Cricetulus griseus: one gene and its partners. The protein of the gene in region 1 purifies or fractionates together with the protein of each later gene. This does not show direct contact. Links are inferred from orthologs where the notes say so. Each region holds a gene or a part of one and is shown on either strand. Other genes may lie near its edges. The genes, in order: Sf3b1, Dhx15 and Prpf4.

The links.
Region 2: the proteins of Sf3b1 (region 1) and Dhx15 purify together in Homo sapiens (co-immunoprecipitation; 6 studies listed by BioGRID and IntAct, with this or other methods). This does not show direct contact. The link is inferred for Cricetulus griseus from reciprocal best matches to the Homo sapiens genes SF3B1 and DHX15.
Region 3: the proteins of Sf3b1 (region 1) and Prpf4 purify together in Homo sapiens (co-immunoprecipitation; 3 studies listed by BioGRID and IntAct, with this or other methods). This does not show direct contact. The link is inferred for Cricetulus griseus from reciprocal best matches to the Homo sapiens genes SF3B1 and PRPF4.

Annotation. Positions count from the first base shown.
Region 1 is NC_048595.1:409,438,168-409,444,446, reverse strand, and holds part of Sf3b1 (splicing factor 3B subunit 1), read left to right. Parts: intron 1-275; coding exon 276-458; intron 459-589; coding exon 590-701; intron 702-2,152; coding exon 2,153-2,273; intron 2,274-2,576; coding exon 2,577-2,708; intron 2,709-5,738; coding exon 5,739-6,011; intron 6,012-6,279. UniProt on the Homo sapiens protein: Component of the 17S U2 SnRNP complex of the spliceosome, a large ribonucleoprotein complex that removes introns from transcribed pre-mRNAs.
Region 2 is NW_023276807.1:120,438,923-120,445,301, reverse strand, and holds the start of Dhx15 (pre-mRNA-splicing factor ATP-dependent RNA helicase DHX15), read left to right. Parts: upstream 1-2,758; 5' UTR 2,759-2,915; coding exon 2,916-2,986; intron 2,987-6,379.
Region 3 is NC_048595.1:83,459,076-83,465,454, forward strand, and holds the start of Prpf4 (U4/U6 small nuclear ribonucleoprotein Prp4), read right to left. Parts: upstream 4,439-6,379; 5' UTR 4,303-4,438; coding exon 4,276-4,302; intron 3,607-4,275; coding exon 3,429-3,606; intron 691-3,428; coding exon 504-690; intron 1-503. UniProt on the Homo sapiens protein: Plays a role in pre-mRNA splicing as component of the U4/U6-U5 tri-snRNP complex that is involved in spliceosome assembly, and as component of the precatalytic spliceosome (spliceosome B complex).

The DNA of each region.
Region 1 (6,279 bases):
ATCATAGCTAACTATTGTGCCACATTGCAGTTGACTCTTGCATATGTAGAAAACTTACTTTAAAAGCAGGTATCACTTAAAAGTAATTTAAGTTTTAGCATTTTCAGTACCAGTTTCTTTTACCTCAGATTTTTGGATTTGATTTAAAAACAACAGCATGTTTGGGTGGTTGGTAAAGATTGAATGTTATTTAATCAACTTTCAGTTAAAACTAAATTTTGTATTTTTAGTGATTTTTGTTTTTTAAATATTGTAACTTAGCTTTTCTCTTTTAGGATTCTGTAATGTTGAATGGCTTTGGCACAGTAGTTAATGCTCTTGGCAAACGAGTCAAACCATACTTGCCTCAGATCTGTGGTACAGTTTTGTGGCGTTTAAATAACAAGTCAGCAAAAGTTCGACAACAAGCAGCCGACTTGATTTCCAGAACTGCTGTTGTTATGAAGACTTGTCAAGAGGTAATCTATTCTACCAGGTTTATACATACATACATACATACATACATACATACATACATACATACATACATACAGCAGGTTTAATTTGTTTAATGGAGAAAATATTGTTTTAAATCATTCTTTCATTACAGGAAAAACTGATGGGGCACTTGGGTGTGGTACTGTATGAATATTTGGGTGAAGAATACCCTGAAGTATTGGGCAGCATTCTTGGAGCACTGAAGGCTATTGTAAATGTAATAGGTATGTGATTGCCTGACTGACTATGTTTAGATTTGGCTTTGTCATTTTCTTTGTATTTTGAAAGTAAAATATAAAGTCGTATTTAGGATTTTTTTTTTTTAAACACTTCAGGGTTGTCAGAGAATGTCATAAAAGTCCCTGTTGTCCATTTGTATTTTACTTGAAAACCTTAAAGGGGAAATTTAGGATATACTAGGTATGGAAATGGTTACTGGGAGAGAGGACCCTTCTAGAACTAGTGCATCAATTAGAAAAGTAATCCAGAATCTTCTGGAAGGGGAGGAGCAACCCTGAGGTTGTGATTTAATTTTAGAAATGTTCTTTATCTACTCAGACTTCTATGTTAAAGTATTTTGATAGGTTATTAGGATTTTTTGTTTGCTGTGAGTTCAAAGAAGAGGACAGCAAACTAGCCTGTCTTTTCACCATAAGTAAAGACACATCTATGTAACCATCTTGGGTATGGAGAGAGAACTTTTTATTTTTATTTTTTTTCAGGAAGTAATGAATGCAAAAACAAAGGCAATCCTGTGTTTAAAATCTCTTGTAGCTGGACAGTGGTGGCATATGACTTTCATCCCTAGCACTTGGAAGGCAGGCGGATCTCTGTGAATTAGAGGCCAGTCTGTTCTATAGAGCTGGATAGCCAAGGCTACACAGAGAAACCCTGTCTCAGAAAACAAAACAAGCCAAAAACCAACTCATTGTATTTAAACATAGTGTCTAAAGTAAGTCCATTAGGACTGAAAGGGTTGGAAAAAGGCCAAGAGTTCATAATACCTGACTGATTGATGATTAGATCTAAGAACAGTTGCATTTACATATGATCCCCAGGTTCAGCCCAGTCTTGTATACTTTAAAGATACTGACTTGCCAGCAGTCATTTAGACGCTTGTGGGTCTCTGGCTTTTCAGAGAGTTGTAAACCATATTATCTGGGAAACATGAGAAAAACGATGGAGAATCAGAACAAGCAGTTCTAGTTAGAGCCTCTGCTAGCATCCTCTTTTTCTCTCTCTTCATAGGTTTAAATACCATGCACATATGCCCTGCATTTCAGGGAGACTGGAGATCTGTTTTGTTTTACAGTTAGAGGGTATGGGGGCCTTTCTGATTTGATTTACATGTCCTCTTTTGCTTATATTGTTGTATTTGATCAGAACATAGGCTGTCCCCATATTTAAATGTCAGTGTACAAATAGCATTTCAAAACCAAATAAAACCTTTTTGTTGAGTAACCCTTATTCTTTAAATCACTGATTTCTTTCATTTCTATGTGTAATAGAAGCTATTGGTAGTTTAAAAAAAATTTAAGTCTAATTAGAATCTGGTGCTTTTATCCATAGATATAGCTCATGAGTTTATGTTTATACATTGCATTGCACAGTAAAAGGGAAAGTGAACAGAGGTTGCACTTGAGGTTTTAATAGTTCCTTGATTTCTGTCAAATAGGTATGCATAAGATGACACCACCAATTAAAGATCTCCTGCCTAGACTCACCCCCATCTTGAAGAACAGGCATGAAAAAGTACAGGAGAATTGTATCGATCTTGTTGGGCGCATTGCTGACAGGTAAGCAGATTATCCAACATCTTTTGTAAGTAGTAACATTCTCATACTTAGTTCAAGTAGGCAGTGTTTCTCTTTAGATTTAGCAGGTTTGTATTCATCAAGCAAGTTTTACTTAAAGTTGCTTACCTAAGTACATATGGTCAGGTTATCCAAAATCACTATTTTTAGGGAAATTTCACTTTGGCTGGTAATAAGAAGTAGCAGTTTAGTTTTGTTTTTTTTTCTTTGAGATGGGGTTTCTCTGTGCTTGGAACTCTGTAGACCAGGCTGGCAACTCATTTAATATTATTTTTTTTTAATTAGGGGAGCTGAATATGTATCTGCAAGAGAGTGGATGAGGATTTGCTTTGAGCTTTTAGAGCTCTTAAAAGCTCACAAAAAAGCTATTCGAAGAGCTACCGTCAACACTTTCGGTTATATTGCAAAGGCCATTGGGTGAGTATTTTCATTTTTTAGTAGGTTATAATAAACTCATTGTTGGAAAGTGTTTTCATGTAGACAAATCTTTTGAAGCATAGTTAAATCATTTCAAGAAAAAGCATTTCATTTAATCGATGAACTTTCCTTCCCATTTAAAAATACTTCTTTAAACTCTTAGTAGAACCAAAATAGATGGAATGCTTTAAAATTTCCCCTTCTGCAGTGTAGATATTTTTAGAGAGGGAAATAGTTCATTTTCAGTGTATATTCAGATTTTTGTTGGTGTTTTAGGATATTGCTGAATTTTTTTCTCCTTTTGAGACAGTGTCCTGGAACTATGTAGACCAGGCTGGTCTCAAACTCTGATCTTCCTCCCCAGTGCTGGGATTAAAATCATATTAAGAGCATGTGCCCCCATGCCTGGCTAGGATATTGCTTAAAATATTAAGGGATGAGTACTTCACATCTTTTAATCTCCCTGTTGTCCAATTATGGGCTTCTATTTTAATTGCTCTTAATGATAAAAAGAAGCTTCTCTGGGGCTGGAAAGATGGCTTAGCAGTTAAGAGCACTGGCTACTGTCCAGAGGAGCCAGCTTTGATTCCTAGCACCCACTTGCCTTACAATCCATGTCAGGGGATTTGATGCCTTCTACAGGCATGAACACATGCAGTGCAGGCACACCTGCAGGCAAAACACTCATACATACTAACAAACATACTTTAAAAAGTTTAAAGCTTCTCTGATAAGGGTTGAGAAATGGACGGACTTATGGGTATAAAGATGAAAACATAGGGGCAGTTTTATCATTGTCATTTAACATAATAAAGGACAGTTATATAACACCCCTAATCCTCAAGATGTGGTAATGGTTTTGGAAGAGTGGGATTTAAAGTGGGTAGTAGCCATCTGCAGCAAAAGAGCACTTGTACATGATGGTGTAGTTGCCCACATGAATTTACATCCGTTGTAACTGCAAGCACATGACCTGCACAAGGTCAAGCCAGCAAAACCACTGGCATGGATGAGGGAGGGGTTCATGAAGTCCCTGTCTGAGGAGCTGTTGCAATTGGTGACTGCTGGGGAGAGTCAGTTTTAAAAGATGTGACCTCTGGGAGGCTGTACATGCTTCTATAGCATGCTTAATAGCACCATGTAGACTTAGTGAATTTAACTATTTTCTTTAGATTCATTTTCTTTATGCCTATTGAGTGTTTTGCCTATATGTATATGCATGTATTGACACATGTACATGCCTAATGCCTTGTAGGGTGTTGGATCCCCTAGAGCTGAAGGTATAGATGGTTGTGAGTCACTGTGTGAGGGCTGGGAATCTATCTAACCTTGGTCCTCCAGTAGAATAGCTAGCGTTCTTAACCACTGAGCTGACTCTGTGAAAAGAGTACATAAGGTTGGGGAGGACTCATCGGGGAAGGGAGAGGTGGGAGAGGCATTAAAAAGAAAAGGGTGGGTTTGACAGAAACTCATTATTATGCCTGTGTGAAATTCTTGATACGAAGGGATTTTTTTGTATATTAAACTTACTTTAAATCTTTCTTTGTTTTTGGCATTTAATTTTTTTTTTTATGTATATAAGTGCTTTGCCTGCACACATGTCTGTATGCCACTTGTTATCCTGGTACCCTTAGAGACTGGAAGATAGTATTAGATTCATTGGAACTTGGAGTTAGAGAAGGTTGTTAGCTGCCATGTGGGAGCTGGGAATCATACCCAGGTCCTCTGGAAGAGCAGCCAGCGCTCTTAACTGTGATCTCATCTACCCATTCAACTCCTCTTTTACATATTTTTCCTTTTTTTCTTATTTTTCCTCAGGGTGTAGGGGATGGGGTGGGGCAGAGTCTCACTGTGTAGTTCCTGCCTGGCCTTGAACTCAAGAGATTAGTGTATTCTGTCTTCTGTTGCTGAGATTAAAGGTGTGGGCCAATGTACAGTATTTATATGTAATTCATATCTTAATGCTAACTTCATGTGTTTTTAAAACACATTGTTCCAAGGTTACTCCAGATTTCATCTGCCTTATTAATTCCCTTATGGTTATTTGCTGCTTCATCAGAACCCAACTGAGAGAAGAAGTTAATTGTAGACAATGAAACTATGAATGTGCCATTTTCCAGTGTTCTAGCAAGGTTTAGCTGTAACCTTGACACAGATCAGATTGGCCTGTGACCATGTTGATAAGTAATTGTCTTGATTTTTGACATATGTGGGAGGTCCTGTCTCCTTGTGGGTGGTGCCATCTTTGAGAGTGTGTCTTGGACTATATAAGAAAGTAAGTTGGTCATGATCCTAGGAGCAAGCCAGTAAGCAACATTCCTCCGTGGTTTGTGCTTGACTTCCTACCTGACTTCTCTCAGTGATGGACTATGACCTGGACATGGAAGCTGAAGCAAACTCTTTTTTTCCACAAGTTTTGGTGAGAGTGCTTTCTCACAGGAGCTAAGAGGAAACATTTACTAGAAAATGCTTTGGGAAACAATAGAGAAGATGTAGAGTTAGGTGTTGCTACCTTCAGGGTAGCTACTATGTAAACTTGGTTAGCTACAGTGTGTCTCTGAGCTTTAGCAAAGGAAATTTGTAAAAGCTTGGTGGAGGCAGCCAGAGCTAGGCAAGGAGACCCTGCCCAACATAAACATGGGAGGGGGGCTAATGAGGACAATGAGGAACAGATTTTATGTGTTTTAGCACGGGAGTCCAGAATTTTGGATATTCTTGTTTTGGATAGTCTGCCTGTCTTTGAATTTCACCATTTACATTTCTTTATATTTCAAAAAGTTTAAAGAGTAAAAATTATATTTGAAAATGAGTCCGCCTGAATTAACATTAAGAAAAATCTGACAATTTGTATGAAGCTATTAAAAAAAAACTTACAATTACCTCATTTCCTCCTTCCCTGTATGAAGGTTAGTCAAAAGCTACACTCCTAGTGATGAGAAAAGCACTGCATTTTATCAGAAAGGTTTTCTTTTCTCTGAGAACAAGTTTAATAAGTAATAATTTGCTGACATATTTCTTGTTTCTTTTCAGCCCTCATGATGTACTGGCAACACTTTTAAACAACCTCAAAGTTCAGGAAAGGCAGAACAGAGTTTGCACTACTGTAGCAATTGCCATTGTTGCTGAAACATGCTCACCCTTCACAGTACTCCCTGCCTTAATGAATGAATACAGAGTTCCTGAACTTAATGTGCAGAATGGAGTGTTAAAGTCACTCTCCTTCTTGTTTGAGTATATTGGTGAGATGGGAAAAGACTACATCTATGCTGTAACGCCTTTACTTGAGGATGCATTAATGGATAGGTAAGTACTAAAACTAAATGCAGAAAAATAATTAACAGTTGTTTGCTAGAGTTTATTAAGAGGACTTTTAAAAATGAACTGTTAAAGAAGAAACATTATGGATTATTTCACATAAGAGGTATAATTTCCTACTTCAATATTTGTTGTAGTGAGTTAGTCTCCTATGTGTTAAGCTAAATAGGTTTTGATTCACTATTTTTAAAACAATGCAGGGTGGGGGATAAAAGCTGAACATGAGTTAATCTTTGTGGCCTTTAGTTTTGTTTTT
Region 2 (6,379 bases), on another chromosome or scaffold:
CCAAGTGCTGGAATTACCTCCTCAGTGGCATCACATATGAAATGATGTGGCAGGATGACACTTTTGCTCTTTTTTTGATTGCCTGTTATGCCCGAGTCATGAGTCCCACCCCCCAGAGACTACCAGGAGTCCAAATTTGTATGCAAAAGCAAAGAGCCTTTATTGCAAGCTTGAGCTTGGACTCTCATTCTGCTCTGACACAGCTGTTGGATCAGGGAGAGCACTGAGCTCAGTTATGGCAGGGCTTTCAAGGAGTAAATGATAGGGTGGGGAGGGGAATTCTGGATTCAGATGGAGGTTGAACTTCTGATTGGGCAGGTATAAGGTAATAGAAGTCTTGTCAAACACGGATAGGTACTGGCGTTTGGCAACCTATATACAAGTTAGGTAAGCTATTCTTAAGGTTCTGGAGCATCTAGTACTTGTTTGTCTCAATTTTGATTGGTCCCCCTGCAGGGTAAAGTCTGTGGTTTTTTCCTAGTTACTGTAAGGGTGAGGTCTAATCCCAGTATTGTTAGCTTGAAGCCTTTCATGGCTGTACTGATGTTAAGTTAGGTATCTTCAGCCCTCATTTTCATCCATCTTGCTGCTGAGGTATTCCTTCCCTGAGGTATTCCTTCCCTATTTCTTTGGGACTCCAACGTAGACCAAAGACCATCTGAGACATCCAGCTTCACAGATTGAACAACTACAGGATTCTTGGCCTTTCTGTTGGGGGATAGCAACTAGCCAGAGAATAGTCTGTAAGTCACGATAATAAATTCATGTATATTTATGATATATAATTGCAAATGGTAATAATTTTATAGAGTAGCTGTCTCCTCTGACTTGGACATGACCATTATCATATAGAAACTGTGATGATAACTCACATGAGATCCTTCTAGGATCTAGTCCATTAACATACATCTTGGAGAGAAGAGGATGCTCATGGGGCTTTACAAGGCTCAAGAATCTGCATAAGAGGCCCGTTCTGTGCAGGAGATATGGAGGGAAACAACGGACTGTGGTGGGACTGACTTCCAACTCAGAGATCCGATTCCCTCTGCCCTCTGGAGTGCTGGGATTAAAGGTGTGTGCTAGCACACTGGCTTAATAGACTGTTAGTGTACATTTAGGATAGAAAGTTGTATTGGATATTGTGAAAGTAATAAAAAGATACTCATTTTTGCCTGGCAGTGGTGGTTCACACCTTTAATCCCAGCACTTAGGAGGCAGAGGGCTGTTACACAGAGAAATCCTGTCTCGAAAAACAAAAACAAACAAACCCACTCATTTTCTTTGTGTTGACTATTTGTTACAAAAATAGAAGTTGCCATCTTTGATTATTCTGTTGTAGTTTTGAGAATTTGCAAGGAACTAGAGCCAAGGGGCAGCCAAGGGGAGTCTTGACATCAAGCGATACCCTGTGTTTGGATGGGTCCTTAGACTTTTCTCCTGCGCTTCTGGGAATGAACGGAACTGACTAAGCACATAGGCTGCAATGTGGGAATTCTGCAATTTGGTCCAGTGACCAATTGGAGCGGGTTGTGTTTTTGTTTTTTTGCCTTAGGGGTGTGCTATCCGTGATCCCTTAAAAACAGTGGGGGAAGGATCCTATGCTCTCTTGGGTGATCAGACCAAGAGTGAGCCGCAGAGAAGCTGGATTGCAGTTTGGTTTCATCACCCTTGGGTGGAACTGCAGGACGGCTGGCGGCAGCGTCTCAGCTCTGTTCTGTGTCGTTGAGTGTATCTTATAGATTTCATTCCTTAATAAGTCTTACCTGGCCCCATACCTCAGCATCCCGCATTATCCGGCAGAAAGATCCACAAAACTCTTAAGGGTTACCTTTCCTCGCCAACTTGCCATTACAGTAGAGTCTTTTTTGTTTGTTTGTTTTTGTTTTTCTGTGTAGCGTTGGCGGTCCTGGAATGTAGACCAGTCTGGCCTCGAACTCGCAGAGATCCGCCTGCCTCTACCTCCCAGACGCTGGGATTGAAGGCGAGCGCCACCACTGCCCGGCTACAGAAGTGTCTTAAAGGCTGAGGCTAGCCTCCTGCTGAGTTTCAGGACAACCAGGGTTACACAGAGAGACCCAAGCCAAACCAAACCAAACCAGACCGGTAGAGCTAACACTGCCATAGACCTAATATGTACTCAAACGGAAGAAGACTAGGGTAGAGAGGCTTGGAGGCAAAAAAAAAAAAAAAAAAAAAAAAAGGTGCATAGTAAGATTACCGCCAATTTTCTGCACCCTATCCAAAACACCTACAGCTTGAATAAACAGATGTTATCTGCTCTGGGGGCAAATGGGCAAAATGAGTCGCGGCAAATTATCATTTTTCTCACCCTGTTGGGCATAGGGCGTAACAGTTGCAAATTCTGGTTCTGGAGTTACAAAATAGTTGTGCCCTGCTCTGCCACTTATCGTCCTTGTGATCTTCATTATTTTCCTAACCTTGCGGAGCTACAGACCCTAAAAGCAAAAATAAAGACACTGGCGGATAGATTTCCTAAATAGGATTAGGCTTTTTCAACTTTTGAGTGAACTCCAGACTGCAAGGAACAGCGAGAGGCGCGTCTCTGTCCCTCCTAGCCGCGGCTCCGAGAGGCGAACCACTCCGAGGCAGAGGGAGGAGCCCGCGGGGCGCCGAACCTTTCAGCCAATGGCACAGCGGAAGGGGCTGGAGTTCCCGCCTCCGGTCGGCGTGCGCGCGCACCACGCCGGCACGCCCGCGGCGGAGGCGCGCGCGCAGGCCCAGCCCTCGTCGCGGCCGCCATTTTAGCTCCTGGTTCGGGCCGCACGGAGCGGGCTGTGGTGGCGGGAGGGGTGGGGGTCCCCGCGAGTTGAGCAGCGGACCTTTTCTGTGTGGATCAGGCTGCTGGAGTCTCTCTTCTTCCTTCCTTCCTAAGCGTCCGCTCTAGGAGTTCGAGGATGTCCAAGCGGCATCGGTTGGACCTTGGGGAGGATTACCCCTCCGGCAAGAAGCGTGCGGGGACCGATGGGTAAGGCAGGCCGGGGCGCGCGGTCGCGGCCCAGGCTTTGTTGGCTTGTGGCGGGGAGCAGGCCCGGCAGCCGAGCCTTTGTCTAGCGCCGGCCGGCTAGGGGCGTGGGCTGAGTGTGTGCGGCTAGGGCGAGAGGCCTGTGGTGGCCACGAGGCCGCGGGCCGCGAGGCCTCGGTGCTCGCGTGAGGCCCGCAGCCGGGAAGAGCGTCCGGAACCCGGTGCCCAAGGACACCGGGCCGCGGGCGGCCCTGGACGATGGCGGGAGCAGTCTACTGGGCGCTAGAGGCGAACCGACTGCAGGGTGCACTGTTTGGCGGGAGACGACGGGCCTCCTTCCATTGAGGCACTTCAGGGGAGGCCGTTGCCAACTTCCGCCCTCCGCCTGCCCTCCCGCCATCTCCTTTATTTCCTGCTTTGCTTAAAAAATCAGTCTTGCTTAGCATCACTGGGGTTGGACTGTGGAAAGATGTATTTCCCCCCTCCGCTGCATAAGTTACTTTCTATCCCCTCCCCACTTTGGACTCACTTTTCAAAAAGTGTTGTTAAGCATGTATGAGCAAACAACCCACGTGCAGATTGAGAAATGCTTCCACCGATTCTTGATCCGGCAGTTTGGTTCCTTTTCTTAGATTTTCGCAAAGGGAAGAGGTATTTAGCATGCAAGCAGTTGTATTAAAACTATCATTTCCCAGTTTTCCTTTCCCAGTTCCCACTTAAAATGTACTTTGGTTTATATTCCTACTCCCCACTTTAGGCCGTTGAATGTTTTCACTTCGGCAGTATGGAGATCTGTTTGGTTAACTAAAAAACAAAATTCACAGAAGCCCGAATATCCAAATTTGTTGCATGGCTTTATCGTTTTCTTGTGCCCTGTGACACCGACTTATCTGTGGCCTTTGAGTTTTTATTCACGGACAGTCCTTTGGGCTTGATTTCTAATTATCAGTGTGACGTATTGGTCAGGGTAGGATGCGTTCTGATACTCTAATTAGATTGAAATGTTGAGCATGGTGTGCAGAATGTCACATTTTGATTGCGTTGATTTTTTTAAAAAAATTCTTGTAATACTAGGCATTGTGATAGCACAGCATCATAAGACAGCTTCTTAGGCCGTCCTCTCATGCAAAAATCCCAAATGCTAGTATATGAGCTGGTCATAGTACTTAGAAACACAGTGTATTCTCCAAGGGAGAGTAGGGTTACAATGAGCTTTTCTGTGCTTTATATAGTGGCATCTAGAACTCCACTTTTCTCAACATGAAACTTAGGAATGTAGTTAGACATTACCACCTGTCATAATGACATTTCTATTGAGTTGCAAAAGGTGGGGACGACATTTGGTTCTGAACTTCTGTGAAGCTAAAAGAATGTCACGTTTGGCTAAGATACAACTAATTTCCCTTGTCAGAGGTCACATTGGAATAAACGTTGGGAAATAGTTTTTTTGTGTGTATGTTCACCATTCAAAAAGCTTTTATTAGGATTAGGGCTTCCGTGTTACAAGTGTATATGGTGATTCCTTTTTCTTGCAAAACATAACCTTGGTAAAATGGACTTTTTGGGTGTATCATGGTAGCTTCATGTTTCCTCTGAATATTACATATTTGTTAGTATAGAAGAGTTAAGTTCATTTGTACAGTGATTCCTTAGTTTCTAGAGATTCTGGAGGGCAGTTGTTACACTGTTTCCTAAGTTTTTTGAGTGCCTTTTCTTATAGAACTGTTTTTCTGTAGTAATGAGTTTATACAGCATTTGTGCTTGATATCCTTCTCCCACCCCCTCACTTAGTTTAATGCACTTTTGACAGCCAGAGATCCTTTGCCCATCCCTTCCTCTCTCCCCTCCATTCTTGGTTAGTGTATTTGACAGCATAGGCCTTTTCAATTTGTGAACCCAGCTGTCACCAGACCCTGTCTTATCTTTTCAGTACACCTTTGTGTGTGTGAATTCATGCCACTGCTTGTGTGTAGCTTTCAGAAGAAAACATGGTACTCCGTTAACCACCTTCCACCAGATGGGCCTTAGGGGTCAACTTAGTGTTTCAGTCTTGGTGGCAAGTGGCTTTACTGGCTGAGCATCTCAACAGCTCTGGAAGAATCTGAAGAAAAGGACATTTTCATTCTAACAGTTTTTTTTTAATATTTCTGATCAGAACTTTTAATTACAGAAGAGGACCTGATACTGTTGTAGGTGCTTTGTATGTAGAAGTGTGTTTCGGTGCAACCCTGTGTAGTAGCTAAGATTAAATAATTAGGTGCAGTGGACAAGAAATGTTCTTATATAAAGGTATAAAGGAAAAGAAAGCAGGAAATTCCTCCAGATCTTCATTTCTTTCTTTGGAGAGCTTATTCATAAATGTGAACTGTAATACCAGTGAGCTCTTAGGATTTGTGTGGATGTATGCTATGATTTTTTTCACTCATAACCACACTGTTAGCCTTCCCATTGGTTGCATAGGTGCAGCTCCTGTCTTGCTCAATAATGTTAAGTAACTTCACAGGGTTTTGTTATTTTGTAGATGAAAAACATTAGCATCTGTGTGTATATGTATATATTAACACGTGCCTAGAAGTTCTGAAAGTGAGATTGTCAGAAAAAGCAGTGTTTATATAAAATACTCTGATGTAGATGACTAGTTTACATCTTTATTGGCAATATACTTGTGCCTGTTACTATTCCATGTACAATTTAAACTGAGCCATCAGCAGTAACCAGTATTCGTTGGTACAGTTCAGATAGGCCAGAGAACATTATCCCAGTATTAGCTTATTTAATGTTATTAGTTCTGTATCAATAGACAAAACTTGCATGTGAGCAAGGAAACACTGACTGTTCTTGATAAATGTCATAGTGTTGACTAAAGAACTATTTAGAGCTTGCTTTGTCTTTCTTCTGAGACAATGTTTCTCTACATCGCTCTGGTTATCCTAGAAACTCAACTGTGTAGACCAGAGATCAGCCTGCTGCCTCTGTCTCCCAAGTTTTGTGGTTAAAGATGTGTACTTCCACACCAGTATTGTTTTTATTTTCTTTAAAATTAAAAGTGTTATGCTTAACTAGCAAATTCTTATGAGAAAAACTTTTTGTAAGTGCCCTTTTTAAACAAGAAGCTGCATATGGACAAGTCTACCTATGCTTGGAGAGGGACTTAAAAACTTACCTTTGTCATTCAGAGTAGCTAGTGTGAACTGCAAAACTAGACCATTGAAGTAGTTTTCTGCATCCCAAATGTTTTCTTCATCACTTTGCTGAGTTTTAGGCCTTTTCTGTGGTTTTTCAACTGGTTGCCTTGCCCCTCTTTTTTGGGGGTGATGTTAAATTCTCACTTTATTCGTCATCGAATCCTTGTGTTTTGTATTCTATTTCTTTCTCTGATATAGTAATGAAGCTGTA
Region 3 (6,379 bases), about 330 Mb from region 1:
TATACCGAGTCAGGCTGGTGAGGTGGATCAGCAGGTAAAATGCCTACTGCCAAGCCTGCTGACTTGAGACAGAACACTGTGACACATAGTGAGAGAGAACCAACTCTCACAAGTTGTTCTGTGACCTCCACTCCTGTATGAAGGCATGTACATGTCCACACACACACAAATAAATAGGATTTTAAAACGTATCCTTTAAAGAATGCTTCCTGCTCTTCCAGAGGACCCAAGTTCAGTTCCCAGAATCCACACCAGGCAGCTCACAAGTGCCTCTAACTCTAGCTCCAGGGGATGACACCCTCTTCTGGACTCCCAGGGTACCAGAACTCATGTGCACAATACTACACACAGATGCACACGGATTTACATAATCAAAAATACATCTTAGAAAACAACAAACCCCCAGCATTTCAAACAAACTTCACAGGAGAGCAGGAAAGGGTTTGATAGAACACATACCAGAACCTTGTCATTAACAAAAAAAGTGTAACTATAAAGGATACCTTTCTCTTCGTTCAGCAGGGCCTTCTCCAAAAAGTGTGATAGGTTCTCCCAAGGCTCGAAGGCAAGCCTTGACCTCTGAGTCATCCGTGGAAACATTGATTTGCCGGGCTCTCTTTCTTCTTTCAAACTCTGCCAAGACTTCTGCCTGCCGCTCACTGATGTGCTCCTCAATTTCAAATACTTCCCCTATGCAAAGGACAGGCAACATGGGGGAAAGAAACAATCAGTCTCTGTATCCTAGAATATAGCTTCTTATATTGGATAGAGTGCCATAAGGTATGTAACTGTGGGGCTGTTGAAGAATTCAGCAATATTGAAGGGTTTCTGAAGATGCAGTGACCAACAATTAATCCAAAATCAAATTCAAAACAAATCAGGGTTGCTTTTGGCAGGGCCTGTGGGCCTCATCATGAATCTTTGCTGCAACCTTGGTTTTGAGCATGTGCAACTCTGCAATGTACTTACAGTCTGTCATGCCATGCGACACTAAGGAACACTACCTCAAAAGCCTGTTATGAATTGTAATATCCCTTTTTTGGCTTTTTTGAGACAGGGTTTCTCTGTGTAGCCTTGGCTGTCCTGAAACTCACTTTGTAGACTAGACTGGCTTCGAATTCACAGAGATCCGCCTGAGTGCTGGGATTAAAGGTGTGAGCCTGGCCAAATTTCCACATTTTTACAAAGTTTGCTTTTATAGAGACATGATTCAGCTACGGGAAAAAAAAGATTTAATTTCCTCAGCATCAAGTATCAAATAGTTTTATCTCTCACTTATACTGTATTAAAATGTTTGATTATTTAAAATTGTTGCTTGGCCAAAACAGAAAAGAAGGATGGTGAAGAGCTCAGTGTGGCAGTGCATGCCTATAATATCTGCACATGGGAGGAGGCAAGAAGACCAGGAGATCAATGTCAGACTTGGCTACACAGTGACTTTCAGGACAACATGGGCCATACAGACCTTGTCAGAAAGAAAGGAAGGGCCAACAACAAAAAAAAACTCACTATCTGAGTTGCTGATTTAAATAAATAAATGAATGAATGAATGAATGAATGAATGTACCATGAAAAACATTTAAAATGCTCCATGTCTTGCAATATTAAATATTCAGGCAAGATTTAATTCTTTATTAATAAATATGTCTGAAGTGTAAATCCAATTAATCTTAATCAATAAAACCCAGGAGCCAGATAGTGGGGTAAAAGCTGGAAGATCAGAGAACTAGCAGTCCCCTTCCTCTGTCCAAAAGGGCTCAGATCTTGTCTCTACTCCACCTTATTACAGCCTGTCTCCACCTCCTGAGTGGTGTGTAGACAGGATCAGCTCAAGCTATGCAACCTAGGATGCTCCCTGTCCTTGTGACCTTCCTGCCTTCAGGACATGAGTGCTAGGATGACAGGTGTGTGCCATCATGCCAGGCAAGTACTCATCACTAAACTTTACCTTTCTGTGCTAATCTAATTGCTTATGACAAATATGCATAACTTTATTTTTAAAATATAAAACTCTTAAGCTGGGCATGGTGGCTCCCATCTGTTATTCAGTACAAGGAGGGCACAGTAGAAAGACTGCCACAACTTCTAGGCCAGCTTGAGCTATAGTGGAGATCTTGTCTCAAAAACCAAAATTAATCAATACATTTCTTGACGGTAATATAAAGAGACAAACCTCAACAGTATACAAGGGAAAAAATGTAGGCTATAAAACAATTTACACATCATGGTACCATTTATAGAAGAAATACATCCAATTCACAATATAGATTTTCTACCTCATAGAGACACATGTTGATTTTTTAAAATCTTTTAAAATTACTGTCCCTTCATACTAAAAAACATTATTTTAATCTAGGTTTGAAAAAAAAATATAACTAGAAAGCTGGGCAATGGTGGTGCACGCCTTTAATCCCAGCATTCAGGAGCAGTCCAGGGCTACACAGAGAAACCCTGTCTTGAAAGGTAAAGACACAAAGAAACAAACTAGAAAAGTAAAGGAGAGAATACTATAAACAGCTTGAGTCATGCATCAATGCCAGAACTACTCTACATCTCCCAAAGACAAATACAACTGATGAATCAAAACACCCACTGAAGTTTTCAAAGATCATCAGTAACTTGTATCAGGAACTGTATGAAATATAAGAAAAACACGCTCTGGATAATGCCAAGAAGCGAAAGCCAAAGACTCCATGGTAAGAACAGAAGAGTACGGATGTGTGCATGAGCAGATGTGGAAGTCAATGTTTCCTCAACATTGGGATTACCACCACATTCAGTTTTAAAAAATTTAATTATGTACTTTATATATGATGCTCTATCTGCATGTATGCCTGCATGTCAGAAGGCATCAAACCCTTTATAGATGGTTATGAGCTGCCATGTAGTTGCTGGGAATTGAACTCAGGACCTCTGGAAGAGCAGCTAGTGCTCTAAACCACTGAGCCATCTCTCCAGCCCCTTTTTGTTATTTTGCCTTGTTTTTTTCAGAGATGAGGACTAACCCTTGTGCTTGCTGGGCAAGTGCTCAACCACTGAGCTAAAGCTCCAACCCCTCAGCCCTGTCCCCCAAACAAAACATGGTTCCAGGGAATCAATCTCAAGCCCTAATGGTTGCACAGCAAACCTTTTGTCACCTGAAGTAGACCCCCAGGCCAAGAATCGAAGGTTTTGACCCTATAAATCTTAATGTTACTTGGTCTGGGAAGGTGTTCATCTGAAAATTGGATCATTAAAGGTGCAGGGCAGTGTAGACGTGGTTCTAGTACCCGGGAGGAGGCAGAAGGCAGTTCAAAGGCAACTGACTAGCCAAATGTGTGGTTCAGTGGTGGAACACTTGCCTAGCATGCAAAAAAACCCTGTGTTGGAGTCCCTGGCAGTTAAAAAAAAAAAAAAAAAGTAAAGATGATTCACAATTTGGGTCTTACCGGAGGTTATATTAATATTTCCAGCTTCAATGCCTGCTTTGAGTCCTTCTTTTCCCAAAATCCCAGACTCTCCTTTGGCCAGACGTTCCCTCTCTTTCTCTTCCAAGCTTCCATAATAGATGTGTGGTTTCTTCACAACAGGAGCAACTAAATCATCAGGTGCTTTAGTTTTAGTTGCCTGTTAAATCAAAGACCCTGGTTAAGGTCCTAGTAAACCATGCTTCCCAAACGAATGAAACTAACGCTTTCATTTTATTTTCTCCAAAAGCTAAAGGACAAGGTGGGTATCCGTCAAGATTGATTTTGTGCGAGTTTAGACTCTCGTTAAGTTTGGCAGACAAATACAACGAATCAATTTCTGTTTGAAGTATCTGGTTTGCTTTGGGGCCCTTTTACTTTATTTTATTTGAAATGCAATCTCCGGTTTTACAAAAATAACTGCCCATCACTGGACAAATACCAAGAATAACCTAAACAATCAGGGTGGCTTTCGGTGCACCACGTTACTGGAATACACATTTCAAATACTTCCAGAGCGGATTAGAAGTTGGGAGGCCTCATCGTTAAGTCCCGAGTCATACAGTTTAAGTCAAGACATGTCTCCACTTCTAAGCACCGTGTTTTGGAGCAGTTAGAGACAGTGTTCACCGCTCGGGGCTGAAGTGAGAGTGGTGCAAAAAGAGCTGTAGCACACGAAAGCGTTTAGAAGTCAGGAAAAGGCTGCTCCACACTAGGGTCCCTCAGCCTTCCTCCTCCGCCCTGACCCTCGAGGTAACGGCCCCTTCCCGCGGGGACCCCGCCCTCTCTGGGAGAGGACCGGCCTGAGCTGCGATCCGGAGCCCCGTACCGTGGAAGAGGCTCGTGAGGAGGCCATGCTGGGCTCTGGAGCCTCGAGGCCCTAACCAAATCCGCGCTCTCCTTTTCAGACCGTCCACCGCGCGCCCAGCAAAGTGGAAGTGCGTCACTGGCCGGAAACGTACCAGGAGCGTACTCTGTGCTCTGGTAGTCGCGAAGTATCTTGGTCGTCGTAGTTGCCCAACGTCGGCTGGCGTCGAGGGGCGTGGCCTCATAGAGCGTCTCCACAAGCTCGCGGGAGAAGAGGCGTGTGGGAAGAGAGGCTCAGAGCAGCCTGGGAAGTGTAGTTCGGGCAGGACAGCAATGGCTTCATGGTGGGAGTTGAGGTTCTGGGAAGCTGCAGAGGCCTGAAAAGAGGTAGGTTCGTGGATCTCGACTGTAATCATGAGCGAACCGAGGGTCTCTGCTCTCCTTCGGGAGACCTTCCGTCATCTCGCAGCCGAGGGCTGTGTTGCCATGGAAATCTCTCCCTAGACTAGTGCAGCTTAGGAGCTGGGAAAGCGGACTGTTGTCCACGTCGGCACGGAAGTCTTCCCGGGGGCCCCTCGTAACTGCGTGGCTTCGCAGTGACTTTGGGCTTCAAGAAGACATTAAACTCGAAGAGTCTTCTAGGACTAAAATAAAGACGTGGCGGGGGAGCTGCGGCCTACTTTGTTGTTGGGTTACTTGTCTACAACCGTATTCTTTGTATGTGGTCTTTGAGATAAAGGGGCCAGGGAGGCGCCAGGGAGAGTGCATACCAGCAGCTCTCGCTCCACTGATGCTAGGCCATCGGAGATAAGGTTTTCTTTTTATCCTTACATGAAGATTGTGGGGATTGCCAAAATATTCGTGTTTGCTGAACTGGACAGACTCACTCCCACTCTTAAGCCTCTTCCCCAAACAAATGCAATCATAGGGACACTTTCTCTTCGAATGCTTTGCTTACTAAATGCTAAATTATGCGCAAGGAGCATATTCTATTTTAGTCATTCAAGTCACGAGACAACAGAGTACATAAAATAAATAATTGTGAGAAATGAAGCTAACCCGTCGTTCTGGAGCCATAGTGTAGTAGGATTACTAAAGTAGCGGGTGGAGAGCAGTTCTTTTAACCCGCACTCAATATCGCCCTCTAGTGTTGAGGCTTTCAGTGTGTACACAAGTAGAAAACTTTTCTTCTAATTATTTCTTCCTTTTTCTTTGGAGCTGGATTCCTCTTCCATTTCTTTACTTAGGGATCTGGTAGAAGGTGGTAGCTGATTTAGAATAAAATAATTTGAAATGTCATGGGCCAGTGTTTTGTATTGATTATATCAACCCCTGGTTGTGCTAAGCCTCCTGAGAAAAAGATAAATGTTTCTTCATTTGTATACATCATAGTTTTTTGTCCCATACGACAGTAATTTATTTGTATGCACACTATAGCAGAACTTTCACTTAGATTGTTATCATTTAACTTTTTTTGGGGGTGAGGTGGGGGTTGAGACAAGGATTTTCCGTGGCTTTGGAGGCTGTCCTGGAACTAGCTCTTATAGACCAGGCTGGTCTCTAACTCACAGAGATCTGCCTGCCTCTGCCTCCCGAGAGCTGGGATTAAAGGCGTGCCCATCACCGCCCCTCGCCTTGTGAAGTTTTAAAACCTATTCCGTTCTTTAAAAATTGAGGTAAACAGTTTAGTTAACAATATGAGCCTCCGATAAAAGTTACATACAGAACATGATAGCCTGGAGGTGGTGGCGCATGTCTTTAATCCCAGTTCTCGCCTTTAATCACAGCTATCCGGAGGCAGAGGCAGGTGGACCTCTATGAGTTCAAGACCAGCTTGGTCTACAAGAGCTAGTTCCAGGGCAGCCTCCAAAGCCACAGAGAAACCCTGTCTCAAAAAAAAAGGAGCCTGTGCCAAGCCTGATGGTAGAAAGAGAAAACTGACTCCCAAAGGTTGTCCTCTGACCTCTATTCAGGGAGCTGTGTGCTCCCACCAACACCCAATAAAAATTAATTATATTTTTTTTCAAAAAGCAAACGTTTTTAAAGTTTTTAAAGAGAAAAAAAAATAATAGCAGAGTCTAGGACTCAGAAAAAGTTAGTTTCAGTTTTTCTATTTGGATAGCTTA